Chlamydomonas reinhardtii: one gene and its partner. The protein of the gene in region 2 interacts with the protein of the main gene of each other region in a pairwise test. Links are inferred from orthologs where the notes say so. Each region holds a gene or a part of one and is shown on either strand. Other genes may lie near its edges.

Evidence for each region. The genes of interacting proteins can lie anywhere in the genome.
Region 1: the proteins of CHLRE_12g506050v5 (region 2) and CHLRE_01g024200v5 interact in binary tests that used the Arabidopsis thaliana proteins (3 or more experiments, as listed by UniProt). The link is inferred for Chlamydomonas reinhardtii from reciprocal best matches to the Arabidopsis thaliana genes CSTF77 and CSTF64.

The regions. Positions count from the first base shown.
Region 1 is NC_057004.1:3,744,237-3,748,383, reverse strand, and holds the start of CHLRE_01g024200v5 (uncharacterized protein), read right to left. Parts: upstream 2,802-4,147; 5' UTR 2,678-2,801; coding exon 2,647-2,677; intron 2,556-2,646; coding exon 2,477-2,555; intron 2,409-2,476; coding exon 2,230-2,408; intron 2,119-2,229; coding exon 2,045-2,118; intron 1,759-2,044; coding exon 1,528-1,758; intron 1,326-1,527; coding exon 1,175-1,325; intron 963-1,174; coding exon 870-962; intron 618-869; coding exon 292-617; 3' UTR 1-291. Other genes in the region: CHLRE_01g024150v5 (uncharacterized protein), read right to left, coding at 3,910-4,147.
Region 2 is NC_057015.1:2,520,891-2,524,965, forward strand, and holds the start of CHLRE_12g506050v5 (uncharacterized protein), read right to left. Parts: upstream 2,803-4,075; 5' UTR 2,637-2,802; coding exon 2,574-2,636; intron 2,174-2,573; coding exon 2,030-2,173; intron 1,648-2,029; coding exon 1,500-1,647; intron 1,111-1,499; coding exon 950-1,110; intron 780-949; coding exon 627-779; intron 447-626; coding exon 375-446; intron 168-374; coding exon 57-167; intron 1-56. Other genes in the region: CHLRE_12g506000v5 (uncharacterized protein), read left to right, coding at 3,497-4,075. UniProt on the Arabidopsis thaliana protein: One of the multiple factors required for polyadenylation and 3'-end cleavage of pre-mRNAs. Required for the targeted 3' processing of antisense transcripts that triggers transcriptional silencing of the corresponding sense gene.

The DNA.
Region 1 (4,147 bases), on a different chromosome or scaffold from region 2:
CTTCAAATCAATACGTACAACGGGTCGCAACACCACTGACTCACGTCAGACAACAAGTCGTGCACGAAAGCCGAACCGCTGTTACTCGTTTCACAGCTGCCGAACCAAGGTGGATGAATGCGCAATCGCAGTCCATTCATGCCCAGAACATCACTGACACTTCCATCGCCTCCCTACCCATACGATCCAGAAGCCCGCACGTCCTGAGCCTGACGCACGTGCCGCGGTTCCTCCGCTACCTGCCGCCGCATCCACACCCGCACCCACGCTAGCACACACACCCGCCCGCGCTCACTGCGGCAACCCCAGCTGCTGCCGCACTAGCATCACCTGCTGCCGCTGCGCCGGCGGCAGCGCGTTGACCTGCTCCACTGTGAGGCTCAGCACCCGCTGCAGCATCTGCGCCTGCTGCGGCGCCAGGTTGGGCGGCAGCGTCACGCTGGCGGGCGGGCCCTCCCCAGGCCCCACCGCCTGCGGCGGCGGCGCCTGAGGCGGAGGCATCATCTGCTGCGGCTGCGGCTGCGGCGCGCCCTGCTGCTGCCCCGCCGTGACGATCACGGCGCCCGGCGGCGCGGTGTACGGCATGCCCGTGGTTGGGTCGATCAGCATGGCGGGGCCTGCACGGTGTGGCGGTATATTACGTGGTTGAGCTGTGTGTCGGTCATTGTGAAAGCGGAAGCGGTGTTGCACAACGACGCCCAAGGAGAGGGAGAGCGTGATCGGCGGCGTGCGCTGTAAAGGTATAGCTTGCAGGTACACGTCTGCCGTAACACCAACTAGCTACTTCAATCCGGCAGGATGCCACTGCCCCCACGTCTTCCTGCACCCACACGAGAGTCGCTCTCGTAGGTATGGGCCGTATGGCGCACCTGGCATGCCACCCATGACCGGCGCGGGCGGCGGCGCCCCCGGCCCTGGCGCGTACGGCGCCCCCGGGTACGGCTGCATCGCGGGCGCCACGCCTACGGGGAGCGGAGTGAGGTTGGTGTGAGACCAGTGGCAGATCAGGGTCACCACATGCAAACGCGTGTTCACCACTCAAGCAACAATGCCTTGCACAGCACGGACGGCAGCTGGCATAGCACGGACGGCAGCTGGCCCTCCTGCAACACAACGGCAGTGAATTGCCGTATGACCTATCCTCGAGACACACTCTCAGCCCAGTCGCGCTCACCCTGCGGCGGCAGGCTCATGGGCGGTGGTGCCACCGGCTGCGGCGCCGGAGGCGCCACGGGCGGCGGTTGTTGCGGCGGTTGCGGCTGCGGCATCGCCGGCAACGTCGAGGGCGGCGCGCTGCCCTTGACCATACCGAGCAGGACTTGCGCCTGCAGGCCGGGCAGCACATCGCATATGCCGTTCAGCCAAGCAGAAGCAAAAGCCCGCGCCCTATGCGAACCGAGCTCGGGCCTAGCCACCCTGCCACCCTGCCCATGACCCTTGTCCACGCATCTGAAGCAGGGAGTGGTTGCCCAGCCCTTTCGCGCCGCACCCCACCGCCTCCCGCATCCCACCGCCTCCCGCCCCCACCTGGAACAGCGCCTTTGTGAGCTGCGGGTTGGAGACCAGGATGGACCGGGCGGTGGCGCTGTTCTGCTGCGCCAGGCTGCGCATCTGCGACAGGATCTCGTACAGCTGCAGCGGCGTCATGCCCGCGATCACAGTGCTGATCTTGTCCTGCGCAGGCCCCGTGTACGGCGCGTTGCCCAGCAGCGAGTTGGCCTGCGTGGCCGCGGCGTTGGCCGCGTCACGGCCGATGGGCTGCGGGGCAGAGGAAGGGAGAGGAGAGGGGGGGGAGCGGGAAGGGGGTCGTGGTGGTGGTGTGTTGGTGGAAGGGAAGGGAGGGGCTTTATTGCGGGCGGATGGCGCAGCCGGTCAGATGGATGGGTAAGCTGGTGCCCTGGTGGTGTTTCCAGGAGGGCTGTGCCTGGGTGTGGCGTGGAGTGCGGCTGTGCAGTGGGGCTGACAGCCTAGCGCCTGCGCCGCCAATCAGTCCGGCCACGCGCATAGCGCCTAGAGGCTTGCCCGTTTCTCTCGAAGTGCTTACCCTCGTGCCAGGTGGTGCCGCTGGCACTAGGCTGTCCGATGGCCCACCGCCTCCTCGACCGCCTCCACGCATGTCTGCAAGGTGATTACAGCCGAGAGGCAGTTGTTCGGGATGCGCATTCAAACGTCTTAGTGCTCACAACACAGCCCGCCGTCTGCGCGCCCCGTGTCGCCCTGTGTGCTTACCCTTCTCGCGCTTCCCTCTCCCGTCCACCGAGTGCTCCTCTGCAAAGTCCACTCGGAGCATGCGCCCATTGACCTCGTACTTGTTGAGGTTCCGCACGGCCGACTGCGCTGTGCCAACGTCGTGGTACTCGCAGAACCCGTACCCCTTGGGTTTGCCCGTGTCCTTGTCCGTCACCATCCTGCACCGTCAAGTCGGATATCAGCTGAATAAGGTTCCAGCTCCGCTTGCCGCCTCGTCCGCACGCACCTGAGCGACTTGATCGCTCCGACTTGGCTGAACATATCCTGGAGCATTTGCTCCGTGACATCGTATGGTATATTTCCAACTGCATGAAGATTTGGGACGGCAATATGTGAGTCGCCTTGCAAAGCAAAGAATGGCGCGCCAGGGCGGCCGAACGAGAGAATGCTGCTTACTGAATACGGTGCATGTTGGTGGTCGATCCATGGTGGCAGTAAGGTTGTCTAATTGCAGTCGCGGTGCTTGGGGAAAGAAAGTGACACCGAATTGGCAACACAGACGGTGACACTTGTCGCTGTGCAATACTATAGTGCGTTGACGTTGAGACAAAATTGGATTCCCGAATGTATCTGGTAATCGAAAGACAGTATACAAGCGCAATCATGGCACGGTCTCAAGGTTCGTGCCGCGGCACGGTTCGATGACACGCACCACGCCGTTACTGCCGCTCCCACTCCCAAGCCCCCGCCTACTTTGCTGCATGTGTATTCAGACGTCTTGCGCAGAAAGTGGGCCACAGCGGTGCGCATTGTTCGAAGTTGTGTCCCACCCCCTGCCCAACCCTGCGCCCTTGATGATGCATGCTGGGGACGTGCTTCACAGGTTCCTGCTTTGGGGCTTCCTGACCCTCCTCGTCCCAGCCTAGGAACTTACAGGCGCAGCTGCTCGTCCCTCACTCCTTCCCCTGTGTCTGTTCTTCCCTGCTGCACAAGATTGAGCCCCCATGTCGCATACATCCTGACCTGCCCCTGTCACGGAAGATGCCCCTAAATTCGGCAATGCCAAGTCGGTACTGCCACGTCGCATGGTGCTTTCACATTTCTGCCATCGATCCGCCTTGATGATGCCTATCGGCGCATCCTCCCCTGGGCCCAAGCGCCGTGGCATAACTGTCACCACCAGGCCGTCGTCTGCCAACCTCTGCTCACCACCCGCAGAACAGGTCCGTTCGCAGCCACTGTTGCCAGACTCTTCACTGTGCCACCGGCCAGCTTAGCAGCATGCAAATACAAAATGCCGAGCTGCAGCTCCACACGGGTGACGTCGCCTATAGTACATGTACATGCAGCCCAAGCACCCTATCCCCGTGCACGTATGCGAGCATGACTCCACGTACAAACAAAAAACCATCCGTGGATTCGTATTGGTGAATTTGCCGATGGCCGTCCAGCTGCTTACGCCGGCCAACACACCAGACAGCCGTACCAGCTCAGCCCTCACCTCAAGCCAGGTCCAGCTCATCCGGGCCAAGCCAGCTGCCGTTCCCAGCCCATGCCGCCGATGCCAACACAGCCCCGGCATGCAGCCCAACGCCAACCCAACCTGTGCCGCCCCAGCCCCAGTCCTGGACCCAGCCAAAACGCTTCTGCGCGCTGCAAGCAAGCACTTTCCCTCAGCCCCATCAAAACGTTTGGCGCCCAGCGCCCAGCAGCGCCTGCTCAGCCCAGGCGCACCTCGCCCACCACCTCGGAATCCGGGTCCTCCTCATCCGGGTCAATGCCCGCCTCAATCAGCGCCTCACGCTCCGCCTCCCTGCGCATCGCATCCAGCTCCGCCTCCGCCTCATCCTCGCCGTAGTCCTCGCCGTGCAGAATAAACTCGCGGTCAAACTGGGTGCGCAGGTTGGTGGAGGCCAAGTGGCCGGTGCGCTCCAGCAGCTCCTCCGTCTCCTCAAGG
Region 2 (4,075 bases):
CGGGCACCGCGTCGCCTCGGCGCCGCGCCCAAGACGCCCACGGCTTAGCGCCCTACCTGCGGGTTGCTGCGCTCGTAGGTGAGGTAGTCGCGCCACAGCGCCGCCTGCGTGTCCTGCAGCAGCCCGCCCTTGCCCAGCGGCAGCGGCCACAGCGCCAGGCTCAGGTGCTGCAGGGGGTGGAGGTTGCGGGTGTGGGTGTGGGTGTGCAGGAGTCAGCACGGTGGGTAGGTAGGTAGGTACGGGGAGCAGGTGAAGGGATAGGGCCGGGGACCGGGCGCGTAAGCCGTCGTTGGTTATGCGCCGCCAGCCCCTTCACCCGCGTCCTCTTACTGCAAATCGCGTTCACAGACCCCCGCAGCCGTACTTTGCCTTGCCTGTGTGCGCTTCCGCCGCTCCCTGTACACCGCCTTGGCTGCCTGGTACTTGGGCATCCACTCGTCCAGCACCTGCACGTGCAGGCAGCAGGCGGCGCACAGCCAGTCAGCGCGGCCACAGTGCCCTCCTGCTGCACCCACACAGTCACCAGCAACTCCCCCTGTCCAGCGACTCCTCCAGGTACCGCGCACATGCGAACCTCTTCCCTCCATGTCCAAATGGCCGGCACCCCGCCCCGCCCCGCCCCGCACCTTCTTGGCGAACTGCTTGTTGGGCCCCTCGTTTTCAAAACGCTGGTAGTCGCGCCACAGGCCGTCCAGGTGGCTGTGCGGCACACACACCGCCGCCTGGTACACCTTGCGCACCGCCGCCAGCCGCGCCTGGTCCTCCTGGCCCGCCATGGCCTACGCGGAGGAAAGACAGGAGCAAGCACGCAACCGACAACACGTGACCTAACGCCAGGACAATGCAATATTAACATGTCCGGTGTCCGGTAGTCCTGGCAGGCCGTCAACACCGCCACCACCACCACCGCCAGGTCACCACGCCACAAAAGCAGCACCGCGCGACTTGCCTGCGGGAAGAGCGCCGCGAACTCGGGGGTGCCCGGCTTGGCGCCCTGCAGGTGCGTGATGCAGTCCTGCCAGAAGGGGCCGCTGTTGATGTCCTGCCCCGTCACCTCCAGAGTGAAGTTGAGCGCGTTGCGCACCTCCACCGCGCCCTCAGGGCCCTTGCCTGCCGCACGGAGCAAACACACACGCGACAAACACAGTGTTTGAAGCCGTGCTTTCGGGACACGCACATGGGGCTGCATGCACCACGTCACGAGCCGACGCCACGATCGGCCCCCGCAGCCCCACGCTGCGCCATCCATGCGAAGTGCTGCAGCGCCCCAACTTGGATCTGGTCCCGACTGCTGCACCCCTGCCCTGCGGCTTAACGCCTCATGTTCCTCTTCAGGATGATAAAGGCAAGCCCCCCTCGTCCCGCATGGTGTAGAGTTTGACAGTTGTGCACCACTGCGCCCCCTCTCCGTTGTCGTCTGCCTAGTTGTGCCCGGCGCCCCCCATCCCCACACATCTATACATCCATACAAAGCGTCCCCCCCCGTAGCGCGCCCTCACTCTTGTTGGAGCGGCGGATGAACTTGATGTACAGCGCCCACAGCTCCAGCGAGGGCACCTGCATGAGGCAGCGCTGGAAGATGGCCTTTAGGCCGGACATGTTGCCGCCGCCTAGCTCCAGCTCCGCGTACTTGCACCACACGTCCGCCTGCGGCAGTGCCGGGCAGGTGGGACGAGGGCAGGCGGCGACGGTGATGGTGGTGGTGGTGATGGTAATGAAAGGGAACTCATGGAGATGAACAGGTATTGGTGACGAGGCCATGCGCCCGCAGGTGACGACAGCGCCCCCAGGCGCGACGCCGCCTCGTCTCCCGCGCCCAGTCGTGCGTTGCCTGTCACACCAGATACGCTCGCAACCCCGCCTACAACGCTCCAAGCCTAAAACCCCCGCGTAACAACGCCTCGACGCACAGCGCGCGCCAGCGCGCGCCTCTTCGCGTACCCCCCGCCGCCTCCCGCCCAGTGCGCTTCACTGCCCCGCCCCTCCGCCCTTGCATCCTCGCGCTGTGTGCCTCATTGCGCCAACGCACCTTGGTGGGAAAGGCGGAAACTACCTCCTCATAGATGGCCCGGGACTCCTCCGTCAGGGGCATGCTTTTGAGCTCGTCCCACGCTTGGTCCCAAGCCGCCACATCGTACTTGTCCTCCGCATTCTTGGCCTTAAGGTTCCGGACCTGTCCCGTTCAGAGTTGTTAGCGGCATCAGGTACCATACTTTGCGGCTCGTCACGTTGTGCAGGCATGCCGTGAGCGGGCAGAATCCCGAGCCAGGCAGCTGCGCCTCAGGCAATGCAAGGCACCCAGCCCGCCAAGCGCAGCGTGCTTTCAGCTCCAAAACGCTGTGGGTCTACTGACGTCCTGTGCTGATAACTGCATCCCAGTGCTGCAGCACCCCCTCCTGCCATGTAATGGCGTACATCCAGCTAACGTCGGGCAACCACTGCACGGGACCACACCGAAAGTGGCTGCAGCTCCGACGGTACCGCAGCGCCCACGCGGGCACGCCGCCCAGTTCAGGTGTGCCATCCCCGCCTTGCCCCCTTCACTTTCACTGCATCACCTTGGCCTCACATACCTTCCCTAGTAGCTGCACTGGCGTAATTCTGTCTCCTCGATTCCCGCGCCGGTCGCGATCCATCCTGTCTCTGTCCCGGTCCATGACTAGCTCGTCTTACAGATTACAAAGCAATATGTGTAAGCAGACTGGAGCCTAACTCATTTTGGCGCATGCGGATGCCGCCTTCTTAAGGGGGCTGCAAACTGCGCCTTTGCGCCACAGTACAAACTGAGATAGTGCACATGTAATTATGCCTAACGATCTAGCTCTCAAGATTTAGAAAATGCGTGAGCGCCCGGGATGAGGACGCCGGATGCAAAGTTTCCTCTTCACCTCGTGACTTTCTCTGAATTGCTCGCAGCCTTGACATGCTACACCTTTACATTGTGATTGGAATTGCACCGAATAGCTTGACCTGTTATAAGGCCCTTCCGGGAACTACCTCGGCACGCGCTTTACTACGTGTTTATTGCACCGAATGGCTGGGCCCACATAATAGCTAGCAGCATGAGAACACTAGAGCGTGCTGGGCATTGCTGAACACAGTCGGTGAGTGGAGAAATTCGAGAGCCGGGCAGCCGCGGGTCAAGCAGGGGCCATGCCGCGCTTGTAGCAATGTTCTATCGTGCTAGTAAGGTTTGCAGCCACGCTCGACGTCAGGCGCGCTCCAGTTGGAGTGGATGCACCGGGGACCATGTTGGTCGCGTTTTGGCTATTCGCGACTGGGTATTCAAGCGTGCGTAGGGGAAACTATATGGTCTTCACCGAGTACCGGTTTCTGGAACTGCAGGTCACCCGTCACCAGGCACGAGCGCAGCTGGGGGGCCGCGTTCAGCAGCGTGCCACGCACGGGAACTCGCGCCCGGCGTCCCACACGGAGGCAGCAGAGCAGCGGTTAGCAGAACCCCTCCGATCACTGGCGTAGGAGCTAAGCAGCCAGGATGGAGATCTACCATCAATATATTAAGCTGCGCAAGCAGTTTGGCCGCTTTCCAAAGTTTGGGGATGAGGGCAGCGAGATGCTTGCGGACATCCGCCCCAACGAGGACCACGGCAAGGAGTACATCCCGCGCAACCCCGTCACGACGGTGACGCAGTGCGTGCCGGAGATGTCGGAGCATGAGGCGAACACCAACGCGGTGATCCTGGTCAACAAGGCGATGAGCCACGTAGAGGGCGGGTGGCCCAAGGATGTTGACTACACGGAAGCGGAGCACACGATCCGGTACCGCAAGAAGGTGGAGAAGGATGAGGACTACATCCGTACAGTTGTCCAGCTGGGCTCGTCAGTGGAGGACCTGATCAAGCAGAACAACGCGGTGGACATCTACCAGGAGTACTTCACGAACGTGACGATGGACCACACGTCGGAGGCACCGCACGTGAAGACGGTGACGGTGTTCAAAGACCCTAACAACATCAAGCGCAGCGCCTCCTACGTCAACTGGCACCCAGACGGCTCCGTGCCCAAGGTGGTGGTGGCGTACTCGATCCTGCAGTTCCAGCAGCAGCCGGCCGGC